3 linked regions of the Drosophila melanogaster genome follow. The protein of the gene in region 3 interacts with the protein of the main gene of each other region in a pairwise test. Each region holds a gene or a part of one and is shown on either strand. Other genes may lie near its edges. The genes, in order: RtGEF, esn and raskol.

What was found.
Region 1: the proteins of raskol (region 3) and RtGEF interact in a two-hybrid assay, tested with the Drosophila melanogaster proteins (one large-scale study listed by BioGRID).
Region 2: the proteins of raskol (region 3) and esn interact in a two-hybrid assay, tested with the Drosophila melanogaster proteins (one large-scale study listed by BioGRID).

What each region holds. Positions count from the first base shown.
Region 1 is NT_033779.5:20,351,289-20,356,456, reverse strand, and holds the start of RtGEF (Rho-type guanine nucleotide exchange factor), read right to left. Parts: upstream 2,491-5,168; 5' UTR 2,390-2,490; intron 1,095-2,389; 5' UTR 1,048-1,094; coding exon 710-1,047; intron 652-709; coding exon 451-651; intron 373-450; coding exon 1-372.
Region 2 is NT_033778.4:7,103,981-7,109,148, reverse strand, and holds the start of esn (espinas), read right to left. Parts: upstream 2,470-5,168; 5' UTR 2,208-2,469; coding exon 1,225-2,207; intron 1-1,224.
Region 3 is NC_004354.4:17,735,829-17,740,996, reverse strand, and holds the start of raskol (raskol), read right to left. Parts: upstream 2,585-5,168; 5' UTR 1,724-2,584; coding exon 1-1,723. UniProt on the Drosophila melanogaster protein: GTPase-activating protein, which acts as a negative regulator for some members of the Ras family. Probably decreases their signaling activity by stimulating their intrinsic GTPase activity, thereby lowering the levels of the GTP-bound active form.

The sequences.
Region 1 (5,168 bases), on a different chromosome or scaffold from region 3:
GTTTGAGGGAAGAGCACAAAGTATCGGTCGCGATGATCAGCTCCAACTGCAACGCTGCCCATGTGGATGATGTCCCCGAGGGTGCTCAGCTCTTGGCCCTGCCATCCACGCACTGGCCCCGTGAGCACTTGCAGCTCCAGCTCCTTTTGGCGACGGGTGGCCGAGCAGGTGGCAGCTATGTCTTTGTACACGGCAACACTCCGCTGGGTGTCGCCGCGATCCGGATGACTGCTCTCCATATGCCGCTCCAGCTCCTGCAGCATGGCCGAGTATTTGTCCAGTCGCCGGAAGGGCTTTGATAGACCCGTCGTGAGCACAAGTAATCCAGGAGTGGCTGCGCCCTGTCGTTCCATATACTTTTCCAGCTCGTCCCTTTTGGAATAGAAAAAAATTTATATTTATTAACAATTGAACACCACAATATATGTATATAAAGCGAGGAGCACATACTTGTACTTATCCAGTATGACAATGGCCTTTGGATGGGCAGCGCAGTACGCCTGGTGCACCTTCTTCATCAAGGGGGCGCTGGTGAGAAATAGTTTTCCCACTCGATCGTTGCACTCCTCGATCTGGATAAGCAAATCCTCGTGCGTACGCACAATCTCTACAAAGTTACACATCAGCTGGGCGTACTCATCCTGACTGAGTCTGTAGAAGAAGCCCTTTTAGATTATATTCAAATTATGTCAGAGAATAGAGAACTTACATTTGCGTCTGTTGCATGGGCTCCAAGAAATTCTCGAGCAGACCCTGCAGCTCGGCCACATGGGCGCGCTCCGAGTCAAGCAGATCCTTGAGCACCACAGACCGATACTCCTGGATCTCCTCCGGCGGCCTTATGGTCTCCGTTAGAGGCAGCTGCACCTTGCACTCATTCACATAGTTGCTGGGAAACCAGCCAGTCTTATCGTTCAGCGTTCCCTCCCACCAGCCACCATCCTCGCGCTGGGTAACCGTGATGACATCGCCCTTCTGGAAGCACAGCTCGTCGTTATTGCTGCCCATGAAGGAGTACTCCGCCTGCACCACCAGTGGCTGATCCATTATCGGATTGTTCAGGGCTGATCCGAGTGCGCACTAGATTGATTCAACTGAAACGAGGCGATGGGTATTGAACTTGAAACATCAGCCAGGCAATTTGCTCAATGAAAAAGCATATGTGAGCATATCGCTCGTTATATACAGCACCTACGCATTATTGCAGCGATGAGCTACATCATCGTCGATCGCTCGGCATTCCTCAGCCTCTTGGAATTAGCCGAGCAATAATTATGGCCCCAAAGAAGAAAACATTTTGAAAACATCTGTCGAGAAACGCGTGCGCAAGTTTCTTGACACTTTTCCGGCGACTCCCCTCCGGCTTTTCTTTCCTAGTTTACTGCAAGTGTCTGGAAAACTCGTGCGCTACACGATGGCCAAGGTCACACAAGCTGCGAGGATCCATTAAAAAATTGGGTAAAAATCACTCGCGCGTATTGTGAAAGAAAAACTTTTCGGGCCATAAAAACAATTTGAATAGCCGGACAGGACAGGCCAACATATAAATCATAAACAACGGCCACGTCGCGTCTAAAAATATTTACGACCTTTTTTATTTGGTTTGTTCGAACAACTCTTTAAGAGATCAACATTTCATTCAATCGTTAAACACTTTCGTTGACGGAAATGGGATTGGCACATTGGATTCTAAAGGCAAGTGCACTCTATACATCAGATATCTATAGAAAGAAGTAAAATCGCAATATTTTCGAATGCCTCGAAAATTATATTACGACATTGTTACTCACAAAAACCCCCAATATTCCAAAGCTTAATTGAAATGGTCTCTTGTATGAGTGGCACTAGGGGGCTAGTTAGTGGATGTCATTATTTTTAAAGTCGTTTATAAAAGTCTTTAGCCTAGTCTATTCGTTGGTACTATTTAAAATTGGCAGCGCGACGTGTGCTTTTATTAATATAGGAATTCCTATGTTTATGCAAAAATTCAATTCTGGACTGAAAATGTTAAAAAGTGATATATTTTCTAAAAATAGATGCATCACATTTGTTTGCTATTGCCGCAATGAGTAAACGCAAAAATATGAACAACTTGGTTTATTTTGCCCAAATAGTTTTCTAGAATACTAAAAATAAAAAACAGACGAAAGTGTACATATTGGCGGATCGCAAGTTCTATATGCCAAACTGGAACGTGTAGTTTTTCACGAATTATTACCGCTCTCATGAGATTGTCAAGATTTATAGGCTGATGAGAATATTTCCCTAAGGCAAGGTCACGTTTTGGTTGCACAAACGCATGAAAATTTCTTAAAATGTCACTTTTTCGCCATCTAGGCACTCGAATACATATACCCGCTACTCTTTTGTATAGATGGGTGATATATACTTTTTCGACAATAAATTGTGGTACGACAATTTGACGTTTTTCGCCGTTTTTCTGCTCTCAGACGATGCACCGCACGCGTTCATTGCTTCAGCGAAACTGCCGAGAAAAGCGGAAAATACCGAAAAGCTGGCGACATATGGCAGACGAATTTTCCACGGCAACCGAAAGTGCCACTCTCGCAGTCATTTTCTGAGAGTCTCGTCGGATCGCAGGAGATTCGAATATATTTTCACATGTACGCGAGCGTTTTCGACCGGACACATCGCATATTTTCATGAAAAATCAACAGAGATGTGACAAAAAATATGAATCCGGGGACAACCTTTTCATCTGCGTTTCCAAAATGAGGATCTTAATTGTATTTCATTGAGAAATAAGCGACACTCGCTGTGCTTTTGTATTGTCTATTCAAAAAAACCACATAAAAATATTTGTGCCAAAATATATGTGGGTTGCCTATTGGATGTGAGATCTTCCATGTTTGTGGATTCAGTCATCAATCGAAAACTTCTTCATATTCAAGCATTTTAGAATTATTTCAGAAAAATTCACCTGTTCCGCTCAGTTTCCTGTTGATCATACAATATATGCCCGTGAATCATAGGAAACGTTTATGGAATGTGTAGACTTGTATAATCTAAAATTTAGAATCGTGCGACACACATTGTGGTTTTAATGGGATTATGGCCTCAGGAAATGTTAAATTCGTCATATTTTTAGAATTTAAGATAGAATATAAATCAAATTTAACCCAAAGACTTTCATTCTGAGACAAACAAGGAGGCTGGAACTGTAAACTCTACTGAATAAAGATGTTGAAGCTTATAGACCGACGGAGAATTTTTGAGCTAGAGTGACCAAGAACTAAATATTTTTTCCACAGAATATTCGTATTCAAATCTGCCGAGATCAGAATGTCGGCAAAAAATATGCTTTATAAGTGCAGCGCCAAACCCAAGCCGAATGTATGTCACTTTCCTTCGCTTCGTTTAACCCTGAAATCACTTTAAGTCCATGGCCGGGCACAATCAAATTTCCGTAGGTGGTGGTGCTCCAAACGATGCATCGGAGGTCAGATGAGCAGATGCATAAATGCAGATACCGAGCGGCACACACGCAGATATGTGGGCACATACAAAGATGCATACATACCCCATTGAAGCTCTCGGAACCAAATTTTAATTAATTCATTAAACTTGCACATGGCGCCGCGCGGATCGGCTATGCGGCCCCATATCCAGATACAGATACAGATACAAGTTTCAGATACAGATACACCGGGCCCACGCTCTCTGAGTATAAGAGACAACTCTTTCGGTTATTAACGATCCGTCGCCGAAGGCGAAATTCAAATGAATATCCCTGCCGCTTCCGGAAATGCGCAATTTGGCGAGTAAAACGTCGCATCCATCGGAGGGGAGCACCCCAAATCAAATCACCGAATGTTTATTTTCGTGGGACACTGGGGAACGTAAACAACAAAGACGAGAGATGTAAAAGAAAGGCGAGTGGATTGTTTTGCTTGGCAAAGTCAGCGGCAAAGACAAACAAAGTCAGCCAAAGACAAACCAAATTTATGCAGTTCTGCCTGGTCGGGACCGGATCCGAATCGCTATCCCTACTAGCTCAGCCGAACTGCACTCAATAAGGCCTCTTCAATGTGTCAATACCGAGATTTACAGGCTGCACAGCCGCCACTTGAGATGCATTTCCTCAGATATATGGACGTAATATAGTTTGATTGCGTCGCTCGCCGTATTTATAGATACTTCGTGGCGGAGGAAGTCATCGGTGGCTGTGGGCACACCGAAGAGGTGAGCGAGTGGGAGTTCCAATAGCTTGTGGGGATCCGCTGTTCTCGACACCAACACACCAAGAACGAGGTCAGCAGCGGAAATATGAAGAAACGCGGTTTCCCAGCAGACACGAGTGAAAATCAGGCGCATGATTTGACGGCCAATGTTTGTTTTGGGAAATCACAGGCCCACATACAGATATTGCCAACATGCTTTCATTAAAGCGTAAGAATAACAACCATAGGGCGCAAAGAGCCAAGTGGTTCGACGAGATCTTACCCTAGACTTTTTCACATTCCCCACATAAATATATACAAACAAATATAACTTTTTAAACCATGAAATAATTCAATTTGATTTAAATAATATTTTCTAGGGTAGCTATTTATTTTGCAAACTGCTTTTGACCTGGTGGCCGAAACCAAGATCATGTGAGAGTAAAGAAAAGCATGAATTTGCATTCAGCTTGCCACCACCTTTCATAGGAAATTCTCTTGGCAGCGGTTCAAAATTGTTCGGGTAATGATGCTTGTTGGTTCTGGGAATCCAATGGGGGAGTTTGGGGCCGGGAGGCAGGTGGCATGCGGCAGGCAGCGGCAGGCAGAACGTGCCTCCGTCGTCGTCCGGCAGTGCATTTTACTTTCGCAGCGAGTGCTAGCAAACAAACGCTTTTCGGGAGGAGCTGGAACGGATGCCCCACGAGGAGCCCTGCTATTGACCCAATGGATTATGCAGGCGGACCTCTGAACTCCAGAAACCGGCAACAAATTACTATTGCACGAGCAGCAGCAAGTTGAACAACAGTTGTGCCGAAAGTACAGGAGTCATTACATAAAATGTATTCTTGAGCTTTAAGCTTTAAATGTCCTTTGTTGGGACTAAACGATTGAAACTGTTTTTAACGTAAATAGGATTTTGTCATGTGTCTAAAAATGTATTAGATTTTCTATATAAATATGTTGCTTAAAAGAAAGTGTTGAAAT
Region 2 (5,168 bases), on a different chromosome or scaffold from region 3:
ATTTATGAGGCTGCAGGATGCAAACACAAGGTGACGGGCGATCGGAGGAGAAGGACCTCGTGAGGATGGGCTCAGTGGACCCGAAGTTCTGCCAGCCTCGTTTAACCGCTGCTGTTGCCACTTAGCTGCATGCAATTCATTTTGCAGTTAACAAAACTCGACAGCGAGGCGAAGGAAGGAGCACGTGCTGGCCAGAAAGTTGATAAATAACTTTCCGGTGCCAGTTTTGCAAATAGTCGGGCATTAATAACACCTTCTTAGCGAGCCCACAAAGTCGCCTCCAGCTGACAGAGCCTCTTATGGCGGATTATTTGTGCCATTATTCGAGGGTGACCTGTAGGATTTGTACTCTCAGCGCAATTGAAACTGATACGCGTAGCCAACAACGGCTGTTGATCAGGTGAAAATGATAAACTCCGCTCTATTTATGAGCCGCCAAAGAGGTATGCCTTATCGTTCTGGATTCCTTAAGAAGTTCTGAAGAAATTAATTTATCCTAAACAATATGAAATCTAATAAGGGAAAGAAATGGCGATGGTGACAAAAATGACAACAGAAAAAAAGATCACGGGATTAATTCCATATTAACATTGCAAACTTCAAATGGGCTATAAACCCAAGGGCCAAAAACAACAATCGTGTCCATTGGTTTATTACCTTTTAAACAATTGCAATTGTAGTCGGTAAATTCGGTAAATTGTTTGGCCTTCGTACTTCTCTTTCAATAGTTGTAAAAACAACATTGGTAGAAAGTTGCAGACCCACATTTTCAACGGCAGCTAAAAGGTATTAAATTACCAAACACGAAAGCGGCCATTTTCAATATAACGAGTATTAACTCAACGTAAGTCGGAAATCTATAAAGCTGTCAGTGTGCCAGCCCATTTTAATGCGATCTGCCTTGCCTATAACTTCGAATAGCCAGTTTAATTTGAAGAACCATAAAGTATGATTCCAGTGGTTAGGAATAGAATCCTCCAGAACCCAACTGCTCCTCAACTCGGAGCACGGAGCACGGCTCATATGAAGCTATTAAGCAGCCATCAAATTGGGCCGTAAACTCTCTACTGCGACGCCCGTTTTATAGTCACTTAAATTGGGAAATGCAAAGCTCATCAAATGGATTTCAAATTAGTTGGCCACATTCCCGCCGACAACTCCGCTTTCCCTCGCCCACTTATCGCCGAGAGTTATGGCCATTAGAGATAGCCGGTGGAAACTCACATTTTGGGTGCTGTGGCTGCCGGCGGTGGCGGCCTCTTTGAGTGGCCATCAAATCTGGCCAATTGTTCTTCAATATCGCTGAGCTGGATATCGTCGGCAATGGCCTGGTTGAAGTAGCAGTTGGCCTTCCTCCTGCTCTTGTCCACCTCGAGGAGCTGCTCCGTATCCTTGGGATTTAGCCAAACGGCGTTCCTGTTGCGGCAGCGGTTCAGGTTCCTCAGATCGTCATATCGGAGGATCTGCTGCCCCTGGATCCTTGCTATCTGGGAGGGCGTTAAGCTGCCGGTCAGCATGGCCACCTCCACGTCATCGTCGGTCTCCCCGTTGCAGGAGATTCCCGAGGAGTGGAACTGATCCTCGCTGCTCAGCTTCCTCTGCACGCAGCCGGAGGATTGGGCCACGGCCATGGCCAAAGTGGGTGCAGGGGATTCGTTGGGCAGCTCCAGCGCTATTTCGTAGGGTGCTAGGGTGATCGTGGTGGCCTTTGGCTTGGTCTTGGTTCGCACTGCCGACTTGATGATGCACTTCGCAGGGGCGTTGCCCCGATGTTTGGAGCACGTGGACTTGCTACTCTGCTTCCTGGGCGTCAGTTTGGTCACCGTCGATAGCCGGGACTGCTGTCCAGCTCCTATCTGCGGCATTTTCGGCGGCTGAACCTGCTCCTCCAGCCGCTCCCGGCTGGCCAGGCGCTCCCTTTCCGCGGACACAGCCCGTCGGCGACTCCGCCGTATGCTGGGCATGTTCCGGGGGAACAGCTTGCCCGCCTCCGCCTGGGAGCTCTTGGAGAGACTGTCGCAGCTCCGGTGGCGGGTGGGACTGCCGCTGCTGGCGGTGGTGGTGGAGCTGTCGCTAATCGTGGTGGCCGTGTTGGCCAGCACTGAGGAGCACTCGCTCAGGTTGACGATGTCCCGGTAGTTCCTCGACTGATCCTGCTTGCCCACCTGCGGCAGCCGGATCTTCCACCAGCGCTTCTTCGAGAGCATCGCGGTGAGTGGAACGCACGTCAATCACGGGTCGCGGGCCAATCAATCAATTGACACATTAACGAACGGGGAACACCTTAAGCAGTTGGCAGGTATGCGGCGGCCTGCAATTACCGTCGCCAGCAATTAACGGGCGATCCGCTTGCTCCAATTACGTGCACTCGCGATCGGATTGATACGTATCGGCTGGGATTCTATCTGAATTCCTGGTTCGCGAAAGAACAGCACTCGCACCGCTCGCTTTGGGGCTGCTCAAACAACTGAAGATTGTAGAAAGTAGCTGTTGGCCGAAAGGCGGCTTTTGGCCAGGTTGGTGCAGGTCAAACTCACCACCAAGACGATCCAGCCAACTCACCACAGCTCTCTTTCTCTCATCTATATATCTCTCGCTCGCTCTTGTGGCCCAAGCAAGTGCAGGTAAAACAGGTGGCACAGGTGAGTCGAGTGGCTTTCGGTTGAGTGCTTCGGATTCGAGCCAGAATGTGGTGGCGTTTATTAGCCAGCTATTGAAGAGGCAGATTCTGGTAGCTGCAACTGGTTGATGCAGCTGTCTTCGGGCCATTTGACACATTTCAGGCCGTTTAGCGATTGACCCATTTCAATCACGGCCAACAAGGGAAGACCACGGCCAGCGTCCCTTGGGCGTTGTGTTACCACATTAGCAGCGCACTCATAGGTGGTCATTAGACTGCGGGCTTGGTGAAAATGTGGTAATCGGGTAAGGCCCCTCTCATGAAATCCATCCGTTTGCCCCGGAATGGAAATGAAGACGGGCGGATGGAACGTGGACGAGGGAACAAACCAATCATTGGAAATTAGGGTTTGTGGCTTCCCTATGCTGCACGGGACTCTCTTCTTGTGGCAGCACACGGACGGTAATGGAGTCGACACCGATTTCACATATTATTCAATTAACACGCAGCTACTGATTCATTGCAATTGAGGCTGAGCTAGAATTTACTAGCCAGTGCAATTATGTCCTGTTGATATTTGGGATAAGTATTCTTCAAAATGGTTTTTAGTTTAAAGTTATGTGGTGATTTTGATAATCGACTTAATAGATCAAAGACCAGTTTCACTTCCGAGGCATTCCACTAACTATCTCGGATATAAAAATGCTATGAAAATTATTTGCACAATATAAAATGTGTCTTTCGTTGAATTATTTTGAGTCGCTATATAAAGTGTCTCTCTCGATGAATTAATTAGAGCCGCTAACTTCTCACACTTTGCAATTATACTTTCTTCTCTGGCTACTAACAACCAGAAATAATTTAAAATTAGTGACCTTTACTACAAGCTAAAGGATTCAATTGAATTTTTAACTTACCTTCAAAACTCTCCCAAACGAATTGCCATTGCGAAGTTTGCGTTTTAACAAATTGTTTCACCAACTGCAATGAAAGACGAAAGTAAATAAATTAATTTCCCCATTTAACGTTAAATATTTGCACTCTCTTTCGACACTCAAAGAGTGATGGGCGAAATGGCCCAACTAATTGAGGACCAGGCCAGAAGAGAACAGCCAACATGAAGCGGCTGAAGGCAAACGAAATAAGCAAGTGACTGCCAAAAGTATTTTAATTGCCCGGAGTTTTCCGAAAAGAGGGGCGTCAAAACTTTATTTGACAGTTGGAACAACTGAACAATTCATGAAACAATTTTGATTAAAACCGAGACACACGGTCTCCAACTGGAGAAATGTCAGCGAAAGCAGTTGTCAGATGCCAGCAGCAGGTGAAAATTGGTGCACTGAGAACATTAGATGCTCAAGGTGATTGTATTATCATTATCGTTAGTAATCAATCATTGGTTGTATGGTCGATAGACAATGCCTTTAAGCTCCATTCAACTATAAAACTAACTTCTGAATTAGATTCACTACATTTCCCGACCACATCTTAAAGAAGGATGTTCTGCTTGATTTAAATGACAATATGAATACTCCTGACTGAATACTGTAAAGAAGTGAAAAGTGGGGATAATTTTTCCAAGTGTAGCCCTTTTCCCACTTTGGCCATGGCCAACAGGTTAAAGTCAACGTCATTGCAGCAGGAGCGCAAAAAACAACAAGCCCGAAAGTGACGCTAGTAAAACAACGACGATAATATCCTGCAGAGGTCGTAAAAGTTGAGATTTGAACGTGCAACGTACACGTGTAAGTCAAAAGTTGCCCCGGGCGGTGGGCGGTGGGCGATGGTCGGAGGAGGGGCGTGGCTGTTTGGCGCAGCTGCCGCCACTACGCGACACAAGATGGCGCTGCGTGGCACTAAAAAGTATTAAAACAATTTACACTTTGTAAAAAAGGCAGCAACGGGGCAATAACACCGACTGTTGTGCGGCTTGTCGCACGTGTCGCGTGGGGTGGGGGGTGTGTAGCTGTGGAGGGGTGGCTGTGTAGTGTTTTATTAATATTTTTTTCACTTGCCCCAAACAACATGGTGCCTGTCATAATCATAACTGTATCTCAGCGGCAAAGACAACGGGAAAATGGTAACAAAAATATAAGGAAATAAAATAAAATCAGGGTTGCCGTTGACAATCGCGTTATCATAATTCTCTTCTACTAAATTCAAATAGCATTTTCGCCTATTTGCATAAACAATGTGAAAGTCGTAAAGTGAAAAATTGCAAAATATATATAAAACACACAAGCGAGTGGGCAAAGGCAGTGGCAAAGAGAAAGGCAGGGCGAAAGCACTTCAAAAGGGGCGGATGGGCATAGATGGGCATAGAACGCGCAAAAAGTAAAGCTGCAATTGCTCGCTGAACAGTGAAGGCACAGTGGGGCAAATCGGTGAACCAAGGTGGTACTTAAGCCCCACAATGTTAAAAATTATATGTATATTCCAAACAAAAGTCTACTATGTATTTATTTATATAGATATGTGCTTGTGATATTTACGCTGGCATAGAATATACTTCGTTTCTAGCATATATTTCATATTTCACAATTATGTT
Region 3 (5,168 bases):
CGTCCGCCGTTGCCGTTGTCTCATTCTCTGTGGTCACAGAGAGATCCGCTCCAATTGCGGATGCGGATGCCATGTGTATGGCCAGATCCCTGATCTTGAATCGTTCGCAGATCAGTTTCTCGCACTGATCCGCCTGGAAATAGCAATTGAGCTCGTCCAGACTCAAGGGACACACATCGTAGGGCTGGTAGAAGTGTTTGCCCCAACTGCCATTGTTGCTGGAATTGTCCCCAGCACAGCTGATGGACAATGCTCCCTGCATGACGCCCTGATGGACTCCGAGTCCGTTGGATCCACTGCCCGATCCTAGGATTCCAGCCTGATTTGGTTTAAGCAGCGAATTGCTGCGTGCCACCTTGGTGGAGTGGGCACGTCGAATGAAGCTCAGCGATTTCTTGGGCGGCGAACAGATTGCCGATGTATTTGGGGGCGTGGCCGCGGCTATATCCGTTGACAGTTTGGGCGTGGACTTAAGTAGAAAAAGGTTCTTCGGCGGAAAACTGTGCGTTAGTATCGAGGTGGCCGAACAGCTGTTCTGCAGTTTGTAGGGCGAAGAGCCCGCTATCTGACTGGCCGTACTGCCGCCGAACAGCTGACGCTGTTTCTCCTGCAGCTTTTCCCGCTTCTCCTGCTTCTCCTGATACTTCTCCCGCTTCTTCTCGAGCTCATCCAGTGCGGCTGCCTCGCGTAAAACAACTGAGGGCGATAGATTTTGCGGCAGGGTCTTCGATTTTGCACGAAGCGTAATCAACGTCGTCGTCGTTGTCGTAGTGGTCGTATTGCTGGTACTACCATTACTATTACCATTGATATTATTATTATTGGGCGTCGTATTTGTTGTGGCCAAACCACGCTCCACCGATGGCAGCGGTACGGCTAGTATATTGGTTCGCGATCGCGATTTCATTAGCTTTATGGGCGTCGAGGTGTTCGTCTGCATGCGACTTATTTCTGAGTCATCATCGTAGTCGTTAGACTCATGAGCGGCGGATAGTGCCTGCTGTTTGGGCGGCGGGGGCGTGGCCAGGACAATGTCGTTCTCCTCATTGAAATGAGTCCTGGGCGCAGCCGCATTTGGTATGTTCTGGCCGTTTGGCATTGATGGCATGGATGGCATGCTGCTACCATTACTACCCAACGAGGACTGCTCGTTATCGCTGCCATTCAAACTGATGACGTTCAGTACGATGCCATATCGTTTCAGTTTCGATGGGGATGCGGTGGTGGAATTATTATTACCGCTGGGCAGGGTCTTGAGCAGCTGTTCGCGATGACGTGCCTCCGTGGAGTTCTCCTCATCATCATCGGTATCGGAGTATTGGGCCGTATTTTCGCTGCCACTGATGCTCCAATTGAAGCCGCAAGGTGGCGACATTTTCGATGGAGTTTTCCGCTCGAAGAGAGCACTAACCTTGGCCACGCCGCTTTTCACCGAACTCGATTTGCGCAGACTATAGCTTTTCGATGATTTTGTTTCGGAATTCGTTAGGGAATTGCTATTGCTACTTAGGCTCGTATTGCTCGAGGACTTTTGGACCAGATGATCTGCGGGCGTATCCTTTTTGGTCTCCTCTTCGTCTTCTATTACCAATGGTACATAGAATGTGGAGCGTCGTCTTTGGGATTTCTCCTCCGGCGTCGCTATTATCGGGCTTTCACTGTTTCCTGTGTCTGCTGTATTTCCCACTGGTGCTGTTGTTGTGCTGCTAGCGGCTTGCAACATTTTGTTATTTTTCGCTCAGTGTAGTTTCGAGAGCATGGCACACACACACACATTCGCAGAGTGAGAGAGGTGGAGAAAGAGACAGAGAGAGGGAGCACACGCAGGTATATTTTGTATTTGTGTTTGTTGACGCTGCTGCTGCTGCTGCTGCTGCTGCTTCTTCTTCTAGTACTTCTACTTCTTTCTCTTTTTTGCTGATGCTTCTGTTTTTACTTCTTGAATTTTATTTACTTCCCCTCTCGCTTCGCCTTTGAGTTATTTTTGTTGCTGTTCTTGCAGTGTGCGTTTGTCGCTTGGCTTATAAAAATTATGCGCTCAACTGCATTTCCGCGTTTTTTCTCTTTCTCTTCGCGCTTTGTTTTTGCTGTTATTTTATCGCCTTTTCGCATCACATTGTCGCTTGGTTAAGTTTTTCATTATTTATCTTTACTTTTTGTACTACTCTTGGTTTAACGTTGTTGTTGTTGGTTAATTTTGGTTTCCAGTTGCAGCATACACACACACACACAAACGCAGCGCAGAGAGACTGCACTAATACACACGCACACGCATCTTTTTTCTCCTTCGTGTGCAGGAATGCGTTTTCGGTTGTTGTTGTTGTTGTTGTTGGACTTAGGGGATAAAACACTTTAACAAAAACAGCACTAGCTTTAACAATTATTAAAAAAAATTAGAGATGTAGCTCAGCAACAAGGCAAAGGAGGTATTATTTTTAATGCACGCAGAATATAATCAAGTGCAATAACATAGTAAAAACCGACGCACGCGAGAGCGAAACTAAAACAATAATAAACGGGCGATTTAAACAACCGCCGTCGCCGCTCCGTTCCGTCCACTCCACCCGAACTCTAAAATCGATCTGATCTAGCGATGTACAAAACATTTGCGCAGCGCGCAGCGATGTTATGGCTGCGGCGATACTTTTCGGCGTTTTTGTCGCTATCGATTAATCGATTTTCAAGCAATGATCGTGTTCTACGTGGCAGTAATCCCTTTTCACAATTGTGCTCTAATTGAACGCACGGTTCTTTGTGTTTTTAATGTCAATATACAACGTTTTTCACACAGTCGCTGATCTCGAATGCGAAAGACAAAAAAAACAGCAGTCGACGATCGTCAGTGCTGCCCATCGAGGGTGCTGCCCATGCGCAGAGAGCACCAACGAGAGAGGGCTACAACAACGCCACAATAGCGGTAAAAATGATAGCTACCGCGGCGAAAAAGAACATAAGCCTTTTTCAAAATACCAAAATTTCAATAAGAATGTGTCCTAAATTTAAAATGTAGAATGTATCTGATATCTTATTTTTTTGATATATCTTATATTTTTTTTATATATCTTATATCTTATTCTTTAATTTTCTACATTTTTCTAATATATATTATAATATATTTCTGAAATAACAAAAAGTATTTTATTGAACTCCTATTAGTTGTTGTTATTGCCCATATGTATGATACGACATCTATGTATCTACGCTTTGAAGCACACTAAGTAATCCTACTTTCCTACCTCAACTGTGGGTGTCTATGAATGTGTGTTAGGTGCTAGTTGGGCAGTCGGGCAAGGCATAATACAAATTAAGGGAACACCAACCGAACCCCAACCCCCCCGTACAACCCAACCATTCCAAGCGTCGTAACGCTTGGTTCGCTCTTTACCTCTATTTTATTTTATTATTGTGTTTTTTTTTTTCATTCTTCCCGTTTTTTGTTCACTGCGGAAGTGCGTGACTATGGGGTTTTATGTGACACGTTCACCTCCTTCGCCGCAACGAAAAACGGAAGACTTGTTTACGAGCGGCTCGTAAGTAACCATTTCCATTCGCATTTCCATGGGCATTACATTAGCATAGGGGCACAATGAACTGTTGTGAGAGGGAGTTTTCTGCTTTACTTATCAACTTTCAACCCCTGGCCGAGCCGATCGTTATATAAGCCACGTCCTGCCTCTCGAAATTCCGTTACATTTATAGGGAAAGGAATTACCCTAAATTCAATAACAACATGCATTTGAGCAGTTATGCAAATAAACATGGTTAATCCATGAAATAGTGCATACTTTTTGGCTCGTGTAGAATACAGCCACTTCGTGTAGATATGTACGTGTAGAATTCGAAGCTTTACCGTAAAATCTACTGCGTGGATCATCTTAAAACGCCTCGATTTATGCAGGGAGTTAATATTATAAAGTTCTTTTGCGAGTGGCGTATGAATGACAAGTATCTTTCTTTTAAATAATCATATACTAAAGTTCCTGAAGCTACCGAAAGTAAACCAAAGTCTTTTGAAAATGCTGATTTTAGCAGAAGGAATTAACTTATGCGGCGGTCTGATTCAATATTTGTTGTTTGTTCAAAAAAAACTAAAAGGTGTTAATAACTAACCCAGTTGCATGGTATTTATAAATATTTATAAAGCGTTTTAAGACTGATTGCCTTTAAGTGGCACATAATCATTTGGTTTCGATTTTGCAAGACAGGAAAGTACAATTTGTATTGGTAAGAAAGAAATAGTTAACGTGAAATTTGCATTACCATTCCAGCTTGCATATTTACATATAGAATGAGTAATTTTACTATTTGAGAATCCCGAAAACAAGGATATATAATTCTCACCATGAGCTTCTGATATTAAATGCAAGTTTTAAGAACCCCCAGGCATCCAAATGCATAGGGTTAAATATCGCCCATGAATGTGATAATGTCCAGCAAGTGCTGATAAGCTCAGAGCAGATCGGATTGCGCTGAGCCGGCAAAAGTATTCGCATTTGTGGGTTTCTAGGTCTCTATATGGCAGTCCAGTGCAAAAGCGTTCTAAGCGCCACCACATGAAAATCGGGGAATCAGAAACAGAAACAGACACAATGTCACGACATTGAGATACGGATAATGCATGAGTAAGTTGCCGCCATAGTCACACACTCACTCACTCACTCACTCACTCAATCATTTACCACACTGAAAGGGAATCAATCGAACAATCGGGCACTTTGTGTTGTTACCTTCATTCAGCGATGTATCGTTTAACGCCGTATCGAAATGTATGCGAGGCAGTGTCTTCGACTTGTACTCACCTGTAAGTAGTGGAAAAGATGTTGAAATGGATTAGTTGTGTTAAATGCAAATGCCAGATGTCTAAATACTAGATGTTTTGTGTTTTCTGCTTGGTGTTTTGTTTTGCAAAACTCGACCCATTTACATGGCCTGACCTTTGAGCTAGTGCTGTAAAATTCACTTCAATTAATGCAAAATATGAAATACAGATACAGATACAGATACAATTGCTAGACATCGCAAGTGGTCGCGGCGATGACAATGTGGGGCACGCTCGTAAATTGAGCAATTGTTGTAGGTGACCCAGGAGTCTGTGTATGCACGTATGTATGTACGTATGTGTCTGGGATCTCTGGTCTTTATAAAGAGCCCCAGGCCCCTTGGGTTCC